2 linked regions of the Neodiprion lecontei genome follow. The protein of the gene in region 1 interacts with the protein of each later gene in a pairwise test. Links are inferred from orthologs where the notes say so. Each region holds a gene or a part of one and is shown on either strand. Other genes may lie near its edges.

What was found. The genes of interacting proteins can lie anywhere in the genome.
Region 2: the proteins of protein henna (region 1) and 40S ribosomal protein S10 interact in a two-hybrid assay, tested with the Caenorhabditis elegans proteins (2 studies listed by BioGRID). The link is inferred for Neodiprion lecontei from reciprocal best matches to the Caenorhabditis elegans genes pah-1 and rps-10.

What each region holds. Positions count from the first base shown.
Region 1 is NC_060261.1:7,915,716-7,927,783, forward strand, and holds protein henna, read left to right. Parts: upstream 1-4,235; 5' UTR 4,236-4,279; coding exon 4,280-4,396; intron 4,397-4,506; coding exon 4,507-4,635; intron 4,636-4,727; coding exon 4,728-4,882; intron 4,883-5,017; coding exon 5,018-5,200; intron 5,201-5,666; coding exon 5,667-5,863; intron 5,864-6,366; coding exon 6,367-6,629; intron 6,630-6,815; coding exon 6,816-7,045; intron 7,046-7,531; coding exon 7,532-7,694; 3' UTR 7,695-7,959; downstream 7,960-12,068. UniProt on the Caenorhabditis elegans protein: Catalyzes the hydroxylation of L-phenylalanine to L-tyrosine. Catalyzes the hydroxylation of tryptophan to 5-hydroxy-L-tryptophan. Plays a role in the biosynthesis of a melanin-like cuticle pigment.
Region 2 is NC_060265.1:4,256,155-4,266,239, reverse strand, and holds 40S ribosomal protein S10, read left to right. Parts: upstream 1-5,355; 5' UTR 5,356-5,511; intron 5,512-5,977; 5' UTR 5,978-5,978; coding exon 5,979-6,122; intron 6,123-6,758; coding exon 6,759-7,097; 3' UTR 7,098-7,168; downstream 7,169-10,085. Other genes in the region: probable DNA-directed RNA polymerases I and III subunit RPAC2, read right to left, coding at 7,923-8,103, 8,276-8,376, 8,986-9,003, 9,068-9,073.

The DNA.
Region 1 (12,068 bases):
TCTCGTGATTTTCACGTAGAATTTCACCCACTTTTTTAGTAAAATTGCGTTTGTGCCATATTATATATCAGACGCGAGGCAAGAATGAAGGGTGCGAAAATATTTTTCCGAACAACGTTCTCTGCTAGCTTGAAAATGTGCGGAAAAAATACGCCACTGCAGTCTGCGAACACTGCGTAGGTATCGACATATTATACACATAACAGCATACGCATATAATGCAGCAAGATACAAGGCAAACCAGAAGTTAAGAGCAGGTTATATTGGAGAGTAAAAGACCAAAACGACAAAGTTGCCCAGCTATAAAAGGAAAAACGAAGCAAAAGAACTCTGTCGAGACGAAGGTAAATTCAGTTTGAAGCGACACTATCCTCGACCACAATGGCAATCCTTGTACCCTGAATGCATCGCTATCGTGACTTTCTCAACATAATTTCCCAGCTGTTGAGCTCGCGTCAAAAGTTGAAATCGTGATCGAATCGATCTTGCCATCCTTTGTTTTGGCATAAAAAAGCACCCGATAACCTGTGACTACGGAATACAATCGTACGTGCAAAACTAAATCGCAGGTGCGGCAATGGCGGCCATGTTGATTTTTCCCCAGCGTATTCAATTACGGCTCCGTAAATACTTGAAAAGATAGTTTTTTCTCGTGACTAGTTTGAGTCGAGTTTGCAGCCTCGTTTCAACATCGTTTCTATTTTCCCGTCTTATCACGCCGCTCGATTACCATAAAAACACTGGTGGGAATATTTTTTGACTGCTATTCTCTCGCCCAGTTTAACGTGCGACATCGTTTTACCCGCATCAGCAGACCAAACCAGAGACCGCAGACTAAATTTTTCCACTGCTGGGCAACACTTTGGTTGGAACGCTCTGTAAGTCAGGTTTTCGAGGAGTGCCAGTGCAGTTTTCAACCGTAGGGAAATCCGTCGGCATATGTAAAACGAGCCACCCTGTCTCTGGTTTGCATATCTAATGAAGTTCAACTGGATATCGATACCAGTAAGTTTCCGACGCTCGCCGAGCTAAGATCTTTTTTTCGAACACGTATGAATTAGCGAACTGCACGGTTTTAAAATCACGAAAGGTTTGTTAAATCTCCGCGGAACGAGTGAACGACCACCATTGAGGGTGAATGAAGTGAAATCGCGATTCATTGCAAAGTAATGAAGATGATTAATATTCTGTAGAATGTAATACGATCGGATCTACAAGCTCAAGTTTCAATGCAGTTTTCGTTGATTTTATGTGAAAAAGGATATAACATCGGGTGGTGAGTTTTCAAAATCGATTTCTCAGGATGTTTTAACGGGAGCCGTGCCTCGTTAGTAATTCTAATGACTACATCCTATACAAATTTTGATTATATGTTGACAATGTGATGAAATTTAAAACGTATATTAAGACATTCAGATCTCATTTATCATTTTATATCTACTGTCCGAAGATAAATAAAAGTTCAAAATATTTGAATGAGACGCGTATTTTTCTCGTTTTATATTTGAAAATCAATACTTAAATAGAACACTCTGAACTCTGCGTTCTTTGTTCGTATAAAAAAAAAAAGAGCAAGAGGATAAATGAAACGGGGTCGACGGTGTCTTGAGTTAACTTTTAAACAAAGACATGAAAATTAACTTTGTATATTATCTTTTCAGTGTCAAATTTTGACATTTTGATTTTAGAAATTGTGACAACTCCAAACGGCACCGTGAAAAATAACCGTATTTCCTGAGAATTTCAAAGCGATTGTAAGCTTACCACTTGGTGCTTTCTTTAATAAAATATGTGCAACAAATTAGGAAGCATTAGCCTTAGAATAAAAAAAAAAAAAAAAGAAAACTAGGTAATAAATGAAAACTCATCTTCATTTTTCTTTCTGTTTTCAACGTGCGTTCGAAACGCGTGAAGTTTTCGGCAACCTAACGAGGCTCCTTGTAAAAGGCTAACAGAGATCAGCGAAATTTGATCGCAATCATCAGATCTCAAGGATTAATTGATCGGATTCTACTCTCGTTCAGAATTCAAAAATGACGCACTGCTGCAGCGACGAGGAAATGGACAACGTGGTAAATAGCCATGTTACAATGTCTTCCTAATCCATAAGACAAACACACAATTATTAGTAAACAGTAACCGCATGGCGTCTAACGAGCCGTCATATTGTTTTCAAACGTAAGTTTGATTTACGTTTTAATTGCCTCGTGCGTAGTTATAATATCGCTTGTGAAAGGCAGAGTCTATAAATTGACTTTTGAAGAAATATCGTATACCGTTAATACCGTGATACGTTTATGTAAACATAGTTGTGAAATATTTTCGCCCTCTATAAATGACGTGATGAGCCACGGGTCAGTGCCAATATTTATCACAAGTCGGTTAATTAATTGAAATTGATAAAATTTTATCAATTTCAATTAAACTCGCAAGCCACTGAGGTCACAAGGCACGCCTCTAATTCCGCCCGTGCAACATGTGTACGCATGTACGTATATATTATAATACATGTCGATGTACGTGGCTGTAATCAATTTTTAAGTGCAGCTCGATATTGCCAGATAATTCTTGCTCATTGGCATTGAAAATTGTTGTTATACAATATGATGAAATTTCGACCAGTGATACGATGCTTGCAAAAACAATTATCTTCCGGATTTTTTATTTATTTTTATTATTTTTAACCTGTCATTACTAGATTTCAAAGTCATCGACGATGGGAGAAGATAAAAGAAACGAGAGTTATAGGTGCCTTACAAACTGTGATTTGATCGGTAACTCTATTGTTACCGCGTCGCTGTTTAAACTCCGTGTAAAAAGACGGCGAAATGGAAATTTACGCTGCAGTAAATGTTCAATAAATCACAGGCTAGGTATTCAGTCCCGAAATTTCTCTCATCAGTCAGAATGTCAACTATTTCGTTTAGCGCTTTGATCGGAAGACGATGAGTAAGAAAGTCGTTAACACGACGAGTAAGAAAGTCGTTAACACGATGCTGATGACGAGTCTTGCAATATATCAGCAGGTTCAAGTGGAATCCCCCATACAGAGGAAAGTTCGAACCGCACTGATATCCCGGTGACCTTCACGACTCACGGAAATGATCCATTGAACGTTTCCCCGTTACACATCACGCGTGTCATTAACCGTCACTATCCTTGAGCGATATTATGTGATATTGTAACTTCGCAGAAATTCGCTTTCGAAATCCATTTATTTTCTTCCTTTTTCTTTTTCCTACATTTCGTCCGGATTCCAACGAAGAGTTACGTCAGAATTCCGCTTTCGAAAGCTCAGGATAATTGTTTGAAAAAGTCCGTTCACACTCGTCACATTTCTCTGAACAATCTGCACACTTTCGAAACCATCTCAACCTCGAAGTTCAACCTGTAAATTACCAGGTGTCGGTACTTACCTTCCGGTCTGTCGATTTCCGGTAACTTTAGACGTGGTTCTTCGGTGAACCAAGAATGGTTCGTTCCCCACCAGATCTTGCAATATACGTCGGGAAATATACGGCAGGTACCGCGTCACAAGTGTCCGTATAACGTACCTACGCTTACAAAAAGTCTGCGTACTTTTTGCACACCGATAGTTCTCAGTGCGAAGGCTATACAGAAACTTATACATCGATCTGCTGCCTGGCTCAATTTCATTCGCGAATTTCATCAGCCGTCTGCAATGACTCAAGGTCGTGCATTTACTTTTTTCTCTCAAGTTTGCGTTCGGTAACACCTGCAACACCTGGACGTAAATCTTGTTGTCTATTGATCTGGACAAGCATAGATCTCGAACGATTCATCGGTGCGCGTTAAGATTAAAGGTGATGAAAAGGAAAAAAAAAAAAGAAAAATTGCACATCACGAGACAAATATTATTGTAGACTCGTCGGACATCTTACAGTTGTTTTTTTTTTATCGTTTCTCGATAGTATATTTGCTCATTATTAACGCAAACTATTGAGATATCGGATTCGCGGAATGTGGTTGAGTTTGCGCGCAGCGAAAGGCGAGGGAAAAAATTAGCTGGAGAGCAACACGCGAACCGACCACATAAGCCATCACCTGAGGACATAAACGAACGCTGGTAATTTCCAGAAATGACCACCCATTGACGACTCGATTGAATCATGGTATAATGATCGGCGTTGCCTGTTGCTCCAGTCATATCTTGCGCAGTTGAACCACGATTGTTCGTAAACCAATTTTCCGCCTAGTGCCACGTGGTGGGGGCCACTCCACCTTCGGTATATAATAAAACTTGAGACTCTCTTGCCGGATGGATTGTTTCTCACTGCAGGCGCGTGAATGCGTTGAGAGAATCGAGAAGCGAACGCTAACCCGGGTCGATTTATCGTCGAGCATCGAAATGACACCGAATCCAATGGTCCCAGATGTAAGATCAGCTTTGCGACGGTGTTGGAGTTATTTGAAAATACTTGTGTCACCGGATTCGACCATTCGTTAACCCTTGACGACTTTAATTTTTTTTTTTTCATCCAACAGCCGAAACTCATGGACGGTGGAAACTACATCAAGGAAGGCAGAGACTCGGCCAAAAGCACTTGCCTGATATTCTCACCCCGGGAAGACGACGAGGTCGGGAGTCTAGGACGCTACTTGAAACTATTCGCAGTGAGTTTTGTAGACCATTGGTGCAAACGCATCGTTCTCTGGTTTGTCTGCATCGTCAAGTGTAAAATCGTACCCTTTCCCACTGTTTACAGAAGCACAAAGTCAACCTCCTCCACATCGAGTCAAGGAGCTCGGCTCGGACCGTCGACAACTATGAATTCATGGTGGAGTGCGCACCTGGCGGTGACTTGGCTGCCGTTATCGAAACTCTGCGCGACCAGTGCGGATACTTCTCTATAATATCCAGGTCAGGATTTCTGATTTTTTATACCACCTGACGATGAACGCTCCTCGGCGATCGTTCGTTTCTCTTACCGCCAACTTGAGACGAGAGGTGGTTCGGTGGTTTGAAGCTCCGAAAGAACCTTCGATTTTTGTTCAGGAACCACAAGGACAACCTGGGCACCGTTCCGTGGTTCCCCGGCAGGATACGAGACTTGGACAGATTCGCGAACCAGATTCTATCCTACGGTTCTGAACTGGACTCTGATCATCCCGGATTTACAGACACGGTTTACAGAGCGAGGAGGAAGTACTTCGCCGACATCGCCTACCACTACAAACAGTAAGTCTGTGAGAAAATTGGAGTATGGTTGAGTACAGTGGGAAACCGGGCACCAGTAAAGTAACAAGCTATAAAATAGTATCTATTTTTAAAAATTTTCTACGACGCGCCGATTCTAAGAGAACGTACAAGTTGTCAAACGCTACCGTACAGAGTTCCGTCCATTATGTAGAACAATTATTATTGTCTCCCTCCAACCGTCATAATTGGATTTCTCACGTGTTAATTGAACGGCGAATACAAAATCTCGATACGGAACCGCTTAAAAAAATTAAGCGGTAATTTCCATTCGCGAGGTTTAATATTACGTTAAAAAAAATGATTTCACGAAGTGAGAGATCGAAAAAAAATTTAGTTCTGATTTTAAAACGACTGCTCGTCTATGCCGGCATTTCTCGAGCATTCAATGATTCGTCTATTTAACCCTGAAGAGGTACTGACTCGAATTCTTCCGAATGATTCGCAGTGGAGAGCCCATTCCACGGGTCGATTACACTCCCGCAGAAACCGCCACGTGGGGTGTCGTATTCAGGAAACTGACGTCGATGTACCCGAAGTACGCCTGCAGGGAACACAATCACGTGTTTCCGCTGCTTATAGAGAACTGCGGCTACAGGGAGGACAACATTCCGCAGCTTGAGGATATCTCGAATTTCCTAAAAGGTGAACTGAGAAATATTTCATTTGTTACAGTAGCAAGAAAACTTCAGTAAAACAGGTATCGTTAGAAAAACTGTTTGAATATTGTTGGAATTAGGAAAAACGAGGTACGCCTAAGCACTTTGCGCTATCGTCGATCCTTTTTTGGTGATTGCAAGGCAAAATCAGTTTGTTAGGTTTAGTCTACTTTTTTGGTTAAACAAGGCTTTAACGTCAATTTATTCTTGCACGAGCATTAAATTTTCGCAACGGTTGCAAGAAAATATAGCAAGAGTGATCGTAATGAGAAAGAATGGTAACGGATACTAGACTTTCCGGCAACAGCTATAAAACTAATTTTCATTTTCCACCTAGAACTATATTTTTCGATTGTGGTAAAGAATGAAGATAGTTAAGGACCGAGCGGTAACCGGACCAAAAAATTTCTCTCATGCTCATGCGCACCCAATTACCTCCCTCCTCAACATCCCCTGCAACCGTCTCTGACCTTTATCGTCCGCTTCCAGATTGCACGGGGTTCACGCTTCGTCCAGTCGCCGGTCTTCTTTCGTCGCGCGACTTCCTCGCCGGCTTGGCCTTCCGAGTCTTTCACAGCACCCAGTACATCAGGCACAGCAGCAAACCTCTCTACACCCCGGAACCCGACGTTTGCCACGAGGTCCTTGGCCATGTTCCACTTTTCGCAGACCCGGCATTCGCGCAGTTCTCTCAGGTCATCGGGCTCGCCTCCCTCGGAGCTCCGGACGAGTACATCGAGAAGCTCGCCACCGTGAGTGGGGGTCTTTAGCTATTATATGATAAATCAAGCGTTATACGCAAAAATACCGAATTGGAAATGGAATGGAAGTAAGACGAATCGCAAAACCATCGCGCAGTTCTAACCGAATGTCAAAAGCCATCCGTTCCATCAACCGTGTTATACGTTATATGTATATGTATTTACTTTTTTCCCCAGTGCTTTTGGTTCACCGTTGAATTCGGCCTCTGTAGACAAAACGGAGAACTGAAGGCTTACGGTGCCGGGCTTTTGTCGTCCTACGGTGAGCTGGAATACAGCCTGAGCGACAAGCCGGAGCTGAGACCATTCGATCCGGCAAAAACGGCGCTTCAGAAATACCCAATAACCGAATATCAGCCGGTCTACTTCGTCGCCGAGGATTTCGAGGACGCGAAGGAAAAGATGATGTAAGTAACTCTTCCAGTATCCGCGATCCCTGACGACGAGTACCGATGTCTCAATCTGCTTTCTTTTCATTTTTTACTCACCTCGTTCGGTCATGTTTGTTTGCGCTTCGTTATCTTTAGCTTGACGTGGTTCGATCGTGATCGAATTGAAAATAGCTTGGCTGGTATTAAACAAGACGATACGCTTGTTGTTTTTTTTTTTTACCAGTATACACATTATGTCACATGTGATGTTGCAAGATTTCTTGCGAGCACTGATTTAACGCAATACTTTCGAAATAATTGTTACACATTATGAGAAAGTTGCGCAAATTTTCAGAGACGCCAGTGATTCGCGATAGCGTCATCTCGTCTGACTATATTGTAGGTATAGGTTCATGATTCGAGATGGCTGAGCTTGTTTTTTGGTACGAAACGTTCGCCGAGTTCGATGCATGAAATCCGTGTAATTCAAAATTCATTGATTTTTCTCAATTCAATTTACAGAAAATTCGCCCAAACGATTCCGAGGAAATTTGGCGTCAGATACGATCCGTACACGCAAAGTGTTAACATCATCGACAGCAAACACCAAATCGAAGATTTAGTCACGAACGTTAATCAGGAAGTTCAACTTTTGATGGACGCGTTGAAAAAGCTGAAGGATTAAACTTATTGTTTTTAATAATAATTGATATTATTGTTATACCTATGTACATTTTACGATAAGAATTCTTGTTTACATTGCGATGGAACGTTTATTGTGTACACGAATTTGTGAACGCGGTATAAAATTTTCTATTTGTTATATTTAAAGTAATGTCAGTTTTTTTTTTTTTTTTTTTTATTATAAAAGTGAAGACGGAAATACATATGTAGGTAGATTATACATCATGATTGTGTGGTGTGTATGAAAATCTATTTTTTTCTGTCGATATCAAGCATTTTCTTATTATACACAGTTCCGTATATTTTTTTTTTTTTCCAGCATCAAGTATAATCGGTTTAAGAGAAGCAATGAACGGTAACAAAATAACAAGTTGATTCTTTCTTATGACGTCATATATTTTTACGTTTTTTCACAACGAACAATCTATGGCAATATTATCATACTGGTGGATATAAGCGAATTATTTCTAAACGGTGTAGAATTTTGATATTGTAGGGATTCATTGCGGGGAAAAAAATTACGTGTTGCGGTACACTTGCACATTAAAATAAACGGAATCGTCGAAACTTATGACACTATTCCGATTGCTATGAATAATATTTAATTCGCTCTTACAGCGAGTCAAAAATATTACTTTCAAATTGCAACACAATCGCGGTAGAAAAAGATTTCTTCCTTTAACGAATTTCCTTCAATACGAATATTCGTTACACACGCATATATTGCATACATATACATATACACACGCATGTATATATAAATTTATTATTAGGTGCTGGAATTAATTCGTAGGATTTTATAAATTTGTTTTCAAGAAATAAAAAAACGCTACGAATTAATTCCATCACCTAGTAAAATTGTTTATTGATATGCATCATGCACCTTACACTGTTTACCGAAAATTCAAATTTCAGTCACATGGGGCCAAATTTTCGTTTGTTGTTTTTCTAAATCAGATGTCTAATCCAATTTCTCGTAGTATATTGTATATAGAAATTACATTTTAATATTTACTCGTACATTAATGGATTATAAATTACACACACATGTAAATTACGCACACGTATAAAATTCAATTTTCACAACATTCATGTTGTGCGACACGTAAGTATAATATTTATTAATATTTTTAAACCGTGTCCAGCGGCATTTCGGTTTTTCCTATTTATTATCAGGTTTCATTTTGTCGTAGATTTTTTTTTTTTTTTCTTTCACTCAATACATCTTATAATAATATGCCAATGAACAGATGAGATATATATCTAATATTATTCAATAAATCGCAAGGAAGCATACCAGCAGAGATCGTTTCTGCATTTGAGAAAAGCATCCTATAGAACAAAGGAAGACCTCGGTTATTTTCTTCATTATCTAGATACATTCATTGAATTTAAGAATGAATATCATGACAAATTTCTTCACACTGGTATGTTGACAATTTTTGGCACATTTTGAGCGAACAGCATAGGTAAAAAATAATAACCGAAATTCGCGTGGACATTGATCTACAATAATCAAGTCGGAGCGTGACAAGGGAATCGTATGAATAAACTTTTCCCCCGAGTTAAGACAAATTAGTTGACAAAAGAAAGAAGTGGCAGAACGCCGTGAATTAAGGGAGACACTTGATGGAATCACAAGAACTTACCATAATATAAAAGGTGTCTCACGGTTGAGGCACTCTTCATGTGTGTAACTAATTGCAAGATGAAGTTTTTTATCCCGAACCATTTGGATAGAATTTTATACATTGAATGTAATCATTCAAGTAACGTGAGGCCCTTACGAATTGAGAATGAAACGTACCATCATGGGAAAAAACCCCACTTGGGTGTAAATTCGTACCAAAAACTCATAGACAATGCTAATGTCCCATAAGAAAAAAGTTAGGGGTACGAATTTACACCCAATTTGGGTTTTTTTTCCGTGAGGGTAGAATACGCTTGCTTCTGAAATATGTTTCGTAACATTTTTAATTGCCAATTTGAATTTGTTCCAACGATTCGTTTGTATTTCAAGTGCTAGGTTACTATTTACGCATATAAAATATATACGTATATGGGGTATTCCACGTCAAGTCGAACGGTCGGTTTCCCCGACCCACTTTAACCTGATTGCCCTTTCACACAGTAAAACTGCATATCGAAAGGATGATCTTTGAATTTTTTCAACCCATGAATTCTTTACGACAACTCATCCAACAAATTGATTTCAACAATGTCTGGAATTCTCGTAGCTAAAAACTTGGACGACATATGAAAAAGTTCCTTCCCAAAAATTTTCGGTTCTCTCACGAACCGCTCGAGAGTATTTTTTCCGTATTTTTCATACCCCGTTTCATTGTAGTTTTGATACAAAATGCGCGCAAATTATTCGTAACTGAAAATTGCCCTAATCGAATGGGCTACAATTTATACACGGCGTGCTTTTTTTAATGCGAAAGGTTGTCTGAAAACTTGATAATGGGCGTTGTAGTGGTTCAGAAGACATATCAACAAATATTCACACAGTGGCGAGAATTCGATTCAAACTTCGCGGCGCGGCAAGCAATCTGCTCACCCTGCGCGTTGCGCCGCTGCGCACTCGAGCGCGATCGTCAGTTGTTACGCCTGTTGTTTATAATCTCGATTGTCGACTTTTTCTCGAGGAGTATGGTTCAGTCAATCATTTATCACGATTTCCGTCATGATACGCGAGTTCCGTACGCCGGACAATATTATCGAAGCATATTCATCCAAGGTAAGAATTCAACGGCGTGTTGCGAATCGTAATACCGACTGTATAACTTTCACCGTTCGTATCGCCACATAGTACGTATGAACGAGAAATTTCCAAGTTGCATGTAAACCATTGCCTTGTAACTTTTGAACTACTTTACCACCCACTACGAAACTTATAGACAATCTTTGGTATTGGAGAAGACATGCCGTGTAAAAATTTCAGCCAATTCGATTCCGGCACTATTTTGTTGCCAAAGATTTACCAAGATTTTCTCACGAAAACTATACTTTAACGGGGCACGAAAAATCGGACAAAATTATTTTTACAAATTTCATACAGAGATGCGAAACTTTTGTATAGGAACTTTTTCCATATGTTATCTGAATTTCAAGCTACGGTAACTTGAAGAAATGAAATATCGTCGAAAGCCGGTTTTTCGACTAGCTGTGGTAAAAAAATGCTTGGTCAGGAAAGTCTGAAAAAATTCAGATTTGATGAATTAAATACGAACTTCAGGCGAGTAAAAGGGCGAAAACATCCGAAGTCGTCAAGTCGAAGGAATCTCGTTTTTTCGTACGATTTAACGTGGAATCCCCCATATACCTTTGTGGTACACGCAATATCAGGAAAAAGTAGCCCTTGAAATTTCGAACATACCGCTTATGCATAATACAATAATACATGTCAACATTTTATCACCACTCACTGTGCTACCCCATATTGATTTATCACATGTATACAATACGCAGATACATTGTACATAAATTACACAATGATTATGGTTGGAAAAAGAGAGAAAAACAAAAAAAAAAACAAAAACCAGTCAAATAGTCACGAAAATTTCAGAACTATGCTGTAATATTTCTTTTTTTTTTTTTTTTATTATAAACAATGTTAGTTCTCATTTCTAAATTCATTAAAATTACCTTATGAACGATGAATTGTATGTATTTATACGTACGTATTTACTAATCAAAGCTCGAATGTTTTTCGCCGTACACGCGGTATAATATATGATTATGTTATTATTTTACTTAATCTTTTTTAAACGATAATCGTTACTTTTTACTTTTATTCCGCCTTGTTATTCTTCAATTTTCGGGGGCGGTGTCAAGGTTCCGAATTTGAAAAGTTCCGAAGGCGCAGAATTCCGAATTTTTTCGTGACGAAACTTAAAGTAAGGAAACAAGATTGCGAAAAGTAAAGTTCCGATAGAGCAAAGTTCCGAAAAGTAAAGTTACGATAGAGCAAAATTCCGAAAAGCAAAAATTCCAATAGAGCAAAAAACTTGAAACAAAGTTTACTGAAAATTTTATGGACTACAAATTTGGTTCACACCATTTTTAATGTTTCATTAACCATTACCTATATGTTTAGCAATAACCATGTTAAAGAAAGTTTGACGCGCTATAAATAAAAACCTACGCATTATACAGAAAAAAGTTTCTAGTAAAAGTTATACGAAATTTTATCATACACAAAATCTGTTGTTACTACATTTTTGTAGGGTGCGGGTAAAAAATCAGAAATACCAAAAATAAGAATGGTCTGCATGAAAACAGTCTCACGATGGCTCATTTTACTCCTTATTCTTTTCGCACTTTCGGAATTTTGTCTTTTCGGTATTTTGTCCTTTCGGAACTTTGCACTTAC
Region 2 (10,085 bases), on another chromosome or scaffold:
AATTCGTTTTTCGCGCAAGCCCATATTCAGTAGCTGTCAGTCCGCTAATAAAATTTCTCGACTTCCAGGATAAGCGCTCCGTGGTTCCTGGTTCACGTTTACAATAAATTATTTCAATTCGTTTTTCGCGCAAGCCTATATTCAGTAGCTGTCAGTCCGCTAATAAAATTTCTCGACTTCCAGGATGAGCGCTCCGTGGTTCCTGGTTCACGTTTACAATAAATTATTTCAATTCGTTTTTCGCGCAACCCCAAATTCGGTAGCTGTCAGTCCGGTAATAAAATTTCTCGACTTCCAGGATAAGCGCTCCGTGGTTCCTGGTTCACGTTTACAATAAATTATTTCAATTCGTTTTTCGCGCAAACCCAAATTCGGTAGCTGTCAGTCCGCTAATAAAATTTCTCGAATTCCAGGATAAGCGCTCCGTGGTTCCTGGTTCATGTTTACAATAAATTATTTCAATTCGTTTTTCGCGCAACCCCAAATTCGGTAGCTGTCGGTCCGCTAATAAAATTTCTCGACTTCCAGGATAAGCGCTCCGTGGTTCCTGGTTCACGTTTACAATAAATTATTTCAATTCGTTTTTCGCGCAACCCCAAATTCGGTAGCTGTCAGTCCTATTCAAGGTATAACCTGAGGTGGTTATCGGTGGTTGTTCGAGGTGGTTGAAGGTGGTCTGAGGTGGATGAGGAAAAGGACGAGGAGGACGAGGATTTGTGCTGGGTGAGTAAAACACTTTTATAATATTTCATGGCAATTGTAATTATATTTCATCTGAAATATTACAAACTTGTCACATTTACAATAAATTATTTCAATTCATCTTTCGTGCAAGCACATATTCAGTAGCTATGAATAATCTTATACAATTTATTATATTATTAATTAATTAATTAATATTCCTATAATATTTAATGGCAATTGTAATTATATTTTATCTGAAATATTACAAACTTGTCACGTTTACAATAAATTACTTCAATTCATCTTTCGTGCAAGCACATATTCAGTAGCTATGAATAATCTTATACAATGTATTATATTATTAATTAATTAATTAATATTCCTATAATATTTAATGGCAATTGTAATTATATTTCATCTGAAATATTACAAACTTGTCACGTTTACAATAAATTATTTCAATTCATTTTTCGTGCAAGCACATATTCAGTGGCTATGAATAATCTTGTACAATTTATTATATTATTAAATAATTCATTAATTACATTAATCCTTACACAATATTTTTGATGTGTTCCTATACTAAAAATATTCATTACTATTCCAGGTATTACCCGAGGTGGTCGGAGGTGGACGTGGAGGAGGACGAGCTGGACGAGGAGGAGGACCAGGTGGACGAGGAGGAGGCGGGGTGGGTCGTGGGAGAGGACCTCTCCTCTCCTCAGAGGAGGGGCGGTGGAGGGGCAGGGAAGGGGAAGAGGTGGGCGGGGAGGGGGAAGGGAAGGGAAGGGAAGGGAAGGGAAGGGAAGGGAAGGGGAGGGGAGGGGAGGGGAGGGGAGGGGAGGGCCGGGGGGAGGGGAGGGCCGGGGTGGGGGGGAGGGTGGGCGGGCGGGAGGGAGGGCGGGAGGGCGGGAGGGCGGGAGGGAGGGCGGGAGGGCGCGGGGGGGGGGGGGGGGGGGGGGGGGTGTACTGCTCTATTAACTCTAATGGGCTCGCATCGACATCCGTCCTCCTCTCCCCCCACCCTCCCTCCCTCCCGCCCGCCCTCCCTCCCTCCCGCCCTCCCTCCCTCCCTCCCTCCCGCCCTCCACCCCCCCCTCCCCTTCCCCTCCCCCCGGCCCACCCCTCCTCTTCCCGTCCCGTCCCTTCCCTTCCCTTCCCTTCCCTTCCCCCTCCCCGCCCACCTCTCCCCCTTCCCTGCCCCTCCCCCTCTCCTCCTCTGAGGAGAGGAGAGGTCCTCTCCCACGACCCACCCCGCCTCCTCCTCGTCCACCTGGTCCTCCTCCTCCTCGGCCACCTGGTCCTCCTCCTCGTCCAGCTCGTCCTCCTCCTCGTCCACCTCCGACCACCTCGGGTAATACCTGGAATAGTAATGAATATTTTTAGTATAGGAACACATCAAAAATATTGTGTAAGGATTAATGTAATTAATGAATTAATTAATAATATAATAGATTGTACAAGATTATTCATAGCCACTGAATATGTGCTTGCACGAAAAATGAATTGAAATAATTTATTGTAAACGTGACAAGTTTGTAATATTTCAGATGAAATATAATTACAATTGCCATTAAATATTATAGGAATATTAATTAATTAATTAATAATATAATAAATTGTATAAGATTATTCATAGCTACTGAATATGTGCTTGCACGAAAGATGAATTGAAGTAATTTATTGTAAACGTGACAAGTTTGTAATATTTCAGATGAAATATAATTACAATTGCCATTAAATATTATAGGAATATTAATTAATTAATTAATAATATAATAAATTGTATAAGATTATTCATAGCTACTGAATATGTGCTTGCACGAAAGATGAATTGAAATAATTTATTGTAAATGTGACAAGTTTGTAATATTTCAGATGAAATATAATTACAATTGCCATGAAATATTATAAAAGTGTTTTACTCACCCAGCACAAATCCTCGTCCTCCTCGTCCTTTTCCTCATCCACCTCAGACCACCTTCAACCACCTCGAACAACCACCGATAACCACCTCAGGTTATACCTTGAATAGGACTGACAGCTACCGAATTTGGGGTTGCGCGAAAAACGAATTGAAATAATTTATTGTAAACGTGAACCAGGAACCACGGAGCGCTTATCCTGGAAGTCGAGAAATTTTATTAGCGGACCGACAGCTACCGAATTTGGGGTTGCGCGAAAAACGAATTGAAATAATTTATTGTAAACGTGAACCAGGAACCACGGAGCGCTTATCCTGGAAGTCGAGAAATTTTATTAGCGGACTGACAGCTACCGAATTTGGGGTTGCGCGAAAAACGAATTGAAATAATTTATTGTAAATGTGAACCAGGAACCACGGAGCGCTTATCCTGGAAGTCGAGAAATTTTATTACCGGACTGACAGCTACCGAATTTGGGGTTGCGCGAAAAACGAATTGAAATAATTTATTGTAAACGTGAACCAGGAACCACGGAGCGCTTATCCTGGAAGTCGAGAAATTTTATTACCGGACTGACAGCTACCGAATTTGGGGTTGCGCGAAAAACGAATTGAAATAATTTATTGTAAACGTGAACCAGGAACCACGGAGCGCTTATCCTGGAAGTCGAGAAATTTTATTAGCGGACTGACAGCTACCGAATTTGGGTTTGCGCGAAAAACGAATTGAAATAATTTATTGTAGACGTGAACCAGGAACCACGGAGCGCTTATCCTGGAAGTCGAGAAATTTTATTAGCGGACTGAGAGCTACCGAATTTGGGGTTGCGCGAAAAACGAATTGAAATAATTTATTGTAAACGTGAACCAGGAACCACGGAGCGCTTATCCTGGAAGTCGAGAAATTTTATTAGCGGACTGACAGCTACCGAATTTGGGGTTGCGCGAAAAACGAATTGAAATAATTTATTGTAAACGTGAACCAGGAACCACGGAGCGCTTATCCTGGAAGTCGAGAAATTTTATTAGCGGACTGACAGCTACCGAATTTGGGGTTGCGCGAAAAACGAATTGAAATAATTTATTGTAAACGTGAACCAGGAACCACGGAGCGCTTATCCTGGAAGTCGAGAAATTTTATTAGCGGACTGAGAGCTACCGAATTTGGGGTTGCGCGAAAAACGAATTGAAATAATTTATTGTAAACGTGAACCAGGAACCACGGAGCGCTTATCCTGGAAGTCGAGAAATTTTATTAGCGGACTGACAGCTACCAAATTTGGGGTTGCGCGAAAAACGAATTGAAATAATTTATTGTAAACGTGAACCAGGAACCACGGAGCGCTTATCCTGGAAGTTGAGAAATTTTATTAGCGGACTGACAGCTACCGAATTTGGGTTTGCGCGAAAAACGAATTGAAATAATTTATTGTAAACGTGAACCAGGAACCACGGAGCGCTTATCCTGGAAGTCGAGAAATTTTATTAGCGGACTGACAGCTACCGAATTTGGGGTTGCGCGAAAAACGAATTGAAATAATTTATTGTAAACGTGAACCAGGAACCACGGAGCGCTTATCCTGGAAGTCGAGAAATTTTATTAGCGGACTGACAGCTACCGAATTTGGGGTTGCGCGAAAAACGAATTGAAATAATTTATTGTAAACGTGAACCAGGAACCACGGAGCGCTTATCCTGGAAGTCGAGAAATTTTATTAGCGGACTGACAGCTACCGAATTTGGGGTTGCGCGAAAAACGAATTGAAATAATTTATTGTAAACGTGAACCAGGAACCACGGAGCGCTTATCCTGGAAGTCGAGAAATTTTATTAGCGGACTGACAGCTACCGAATTTGGGGTTGCGCGAAAAACGAATTGAAATAATTTATTGTAAACGTGAACCAGGAACCACGGAGCGCTTATCCTGGAAGTCGAGAAATTTTATTAGCGGACTGACAGCTACTGAATATGGGCTTGCGCGAAAAACGAATTGAAATAATTTATTGTAAACGTGAATCAGGAACCACGGAGCGCTTATCCTGGAAGTCGAGTTTCACCGCGTAGCGGACCCGAAGCGCGGGATCCGGGAGGTTGAGAACCCGGTACTCGAAATACGTAGCGGACCCGAAGCGCGGGATCCGTGAGGTTGAGAACCCGGTACTCGAAATTTGCGGAGCGCGACTCTCATGCGTCCGCTCTACTGCGCGGTTGTTTCCCGACTGAGGAATTCGGCTAGCTGATTTTGAATTGGTGACGTCACTTTCTGAACGTCCGACATCCAAACTATGGTTTCGAACTTTGATACTGTGTATGATGATGTATGATGTACGATGTATGATGTATGATGTATGATGATATGATATGATGTATAATGACTTTAGCTTTCACATTTCATACAAGAAATACACAATTTATCTCTCCTGCCGATTCCAGACTCAACCGGCCAGGCCCTTCGATGGTCAGCCGTTGACTGAAGATATATCCTTCAGTTAACGGGTCGGCTAATAACGCTGCCGTTCTGCGACAGTTGAATGATGAACAAAGTAGTAATAACAGTTATCATAGGCAGGGTAAATGCATTGCATCACGAATATAGCCTTTTCATTACCCATCATCAACGCCATCATTGTGTGGCATATTTGAATTATGCGCAGCTAGATATTATTCTACACGATCTAATGACGTTACTACGGCGAGCCAGTGGCGAACCCGCGGACCATGGAGACTAGACAGAGAGAAGGTTTCTCTTTGGACTAGAGCCGCGGACGTAACACTTTCGATATCACAGCGCTGCATGTGGCAGAAATCCGAACTCTCGATATAGCGAGCGATGATTCACGGTAAAGAACGCGCGAATGGTGGCCTTCTTTTTCCGGTGACAAGTCCGACACGAAGTACCGAAGTACGTCTGATTTTCTAACAAATCCACAGATATCTCGTGCATCCGCAATATTTAACGTGCAATCATAGTCTTAATATATTATTAGTTTACCCACGAGCCATAAAAACCTCGTAGTCGTAATTTCACGCAGTCAGATGCGATATAATTTACGTGAATCTAGTGTTGTGAGCTGTGTTGAAGAATGTCCATGTCGGATGTATCTTGTATTCGCCACGCAATTGTCGCGTGGATATTCAAATTTAATTCGTCCAATTGAATCTCATATGGCTCGAGAAAAATGTGTTATCTTGTTATTTTGACAGAAAAAATTTCAAACTTGACGCATATAATCATCAAGCGAATTCTTGTTTTAAACCCAATTGATCGTGACATGTTGCAACTTGGCTTAACCTAACCCAATACAACCTAACCTAGAGCTGCAATAAATTATGATATTGAAATAGATACTCTTTTCGATGATTTACAGAATGTTGATGCCCAAGAAAAATCGTGTCGCCATTTACGAGTACCTCTTCAAGGAGGGAGTAATGGTGGCTAAAAAGGATTATCACGCACCCAAGCATCCCGAACTTGAGACCATACCCAATTTGCAGGTTATCAAAGCTATGCAGGTAATGGAAGTAAACGTCACGAAATTTCGCTGGCCCCTTGTCAATTATTCTGCTGGCGGACAGTGTTGATCCACACAACCAATTGGCAGATTCACTGTGTAGTGCGAATACAAACGTCAAGATAAAATAAGTTGACTATTTGACGACATGAGAAGTAGCGTGATTTATCAAAAATGTATTATCATTAAATGGTATATCAGTTGAGTCATATTTTTTGGTTGGAATACCTGTAAGAGTGAGAATTCCCGAAACCAGGTAGCATACGTACTCTCGGAGTGTACCTGCTCTGAAAAACAAAACATTTGATTTTGATAGTTCCATTGTTTACAGAAATATCATTGTAAAGCTGTGCATCATTAACTTGCTCTATAACATACCACGTACACTGGCATGCATTTGTGTTTTCAAGTCTCTTGCTAATTTGCTGAAAATTACTCATATTTTTTTAACTGGTAAAAAAAAATTAGGAAATTGCTACATTTAGCATATCTAAAGTGTGGCATGTAGCGACATGGGAAGACGCAGAGACGTGTGAAAAAATGCTCTTTATTATTATGACTTCATACAAAATAACTTTTTTAGAATACCAATGCTTATGTCATTATACCATTATGTATCGTATGATTATGATTTCAGTCCTTGAAGTCACGAGGTTTTGTCAACGAGCAGTTTGCTTGGAGACACTTCTACTGGTACCTGACGAACGAGGGCATCGAATACCTGCGAGCCTATCTCCATCTCCCTCCAGAAATTGTTCCTGCGACATTGAAGAGGCAAGTCAGACCTGAAACCGCGAGGCCTAGGCCCGCTGCTGGCCCTAGGAGCGAAGGTTCGCGTCCAGCCGAAGACCGTGCCGGTTATCGCCGAGGTCCTGGCGGACCGCCAGCACCTGGTGATAAAAAGGCTGATGTTGGCGCTGGCACTGGTGATCTCGAATTCCGGGGAGGATTTGGGCGCGGAAAAGCTCCACAATAAATAAGCTTCGTTTATTACATAAAATGCTACAAAATCTGTATAACCGTGAATAAAGTATTACTCGGTGCATACCCATTTCTTTAGTTTTCCCTGTGTTTATTCAAAACAGTCGTACCAGTGGCTATTATTTTTTATCTTTTGACAGAATTTTTATAGTAGGAAGTAACTGTGATTAGTGCAGAGGTTTCATATTTTTCAAGAGAGTGAGTATATTTTGACTTGATGAAATCATGCATTATCATTTTACAATGAGTGACTTTTACACTGTTAGTATATGACAAAAATCTAGTGTTTCAATTTCCTGATCTTGTTGCATTATTTGTCTACGAATTTTAAAAATAACAATTGCGCTCCGCCGATAATTTTTGATTAGTGTTCAAGTTACTACAGAAGTTTGCGCTGTTATAAACTGATTTTAGGTGACTATATATCAAATAAAACTGCTAAAAGAAATCTTTCAGAGGGTTCTATTATCACAATGCGTATAGATCAGTCTATGTGGGAAATCCCGATTTTCGTTTCTAGTGAAATCACAAACTTGCGTTACGGCAGGCTGAGACAGATGTACGGGGTACGTTATTTAAATAGCGCCGAATATTTTTAATTCTATTGTTTATTCAAAGATATAAAATACAAGATTCACGTTCTGTAGTTAATCTGAGTTTCTTTTCTGTTGTTGTGCCAATCTATTCTAAGTAAAGACACAAAATTGATTTGAAACTGACGACAAATCAGGTTCACTTCTCCAAGTCATAAGAGAGGATTCATAATACAAACATCCCTTGTATCTCACAATTGTCTCCAAACAAGTCACTCATGTGAATTTTAACGGGAGGCCTGCCATGCGGTTTCAAAAGCTTTGGCAGTATGTTCGCAGGCTTTCTCCAGATCTTCTAAACCCTTCCTCAATATATCAACGGCACGACCAGACTTTGCCTGTATCCTGAAGTGCATCTTAGTCTCTGCAGGATGGGGCACCGTATAACCACAGAATTGAACATCTGGACTACAAATGGATTAGAATACGTTGTAATTAAATCGTTTTGGACTCGATATTCATAATAAACATTCATGAATACAGAGATGTATAAAGGGTAAATTAGGACAAGAAATTGAAATAATATCAATACTGAAAAAAGTGAAACAAAGAATAAAACTAGCGACGGAAAAATTTTTACTATTGAGCAATAATTGATCGAAGAGCATTTCCCAAAGTATGACCCTCGTCCTGGAATACAAAAGTTCGTGATTTTTCTCCAGACTCCCCATCTCCGGCAAGCTGCAAGTAGAAAATATTAAACTATTAACGATATTGTTCCCCAACACAATGGTTATGGAAAATAACACTGGTTCTACTCGTATGTAAGAGTAACTACAAAAGAGTATCACTCTTCACACGAAATCTAACAATCTATGAACTGTCTACGCGGGCAGTCTTCTTTTGACCACATGTGTGTGTACTCACTTCTGGTAACTATCTGCTCGACAAGTGCAATACGAGTTTATTCCATGCAACGCTTTATCACATCGTACTCGAATTAATCGTGAATTTATTTTTATCGTGCCTATTCCCAGGGCACTGACTTGATTTGCATGCAATTCGTAAGATCGTAAGCGAATCACGCAGTTACGCGAGAAATGTTAGAACAAGTTCGCCCTGCATTCTAGCCTGCAGGTTTTATTAACTTTCGGAGAGAAAACTTCCACGAAAATCGACCAATTTAAATAAATGCTTACTGAACGCTTTTCATGCCCAGCAGCGCTAAGAAGCGTTATATACAGAAATATGTTCAAGGAATAGAATCACTTTACAGTTTCAGTGACGTTGAAGGTCGCTATGTAAATCCAGCAATCGGTAAACTGTTTTAGAAAATGCTATTCATATTACCTCTGCTAAACGTCCCATCTGAAAACAGATTACGAGGTTAATCTTTCAATGATTCTTGTGAGGAAATATGTCACTAATCTACCTTCATTCAATAGGAAATAAATGTAAACGCGATTATAAAAATTTTCTCTTTTGCATTTTATAGGTTACCAGCACCGTTGTCTTGCGCTTCTTATAGGTATACCCGTTGACAGTTGACGCGTGAACGTTGCTGCTGCTACATGATTGCGATGCTATGTTCAGGATAGTCACATTCAAATAATTCTGCCGGAACGTTCGAACGCGTTCGGCACATGCTTGCGTTTCGAAATTCGAAAAATACTGAACAAACAATCAATCCTTATTGCCAAATACGTAACTTTTTCAAAAAAAAATTTAACACGGAGAATAAAGAAGTAGGATGGAAATGAAAAATCATGTTTAAATAATTAATTACATGAAATGAAAAAACGTGTAAATTAAAGAGTTCGCTGTCCTCAGACATCTGACGAAATCTATTTGATCAGAGGATTTATATCTTGCAATACATTTGAAAATTTTTCGTCCACGGCGCAACGGATAATTTTTACCACCGAATGCCCTATTTAGACTATACGCTGTATATCTCGTCAGGTCTTTGTCCTTTGCAGTCTGATAATTGCTAGTTCGAAAGCCAGCTTTTAAGTTAGCGAGCAATCATCAAAATTGCAGGCAACTGTGATTCATCTTTGAAACTACTGAAATTTTACAATACGTTTAGGATAAGGATTTGTTCTACGCAAATTCAAATGCCCATGAAATATATATTATATTTATTTTACCAACATTATAGCATAAATGTATGTTCGACGAGATAGGCGTTAGTCAAAAGTACAGTACTCATCATTGAATACGGTGAGCATTGTTGTTTGGTGATATACAAGGACCAGCAATTCCCATGTTACGCAGTAGTTTCAGAATCGTTTGTTCGACATTGGCTGGTTATATAAATAAACCCATTTTTCGCTCGATGTCATATCTGCGCGATGAGCTTTATTCAATTTCTTGTGAAGTCTATACTTTTGAAAAACACTGACTGATCGGAATTGAAAGCACTCTGCACATTTCTACGCACTATCATA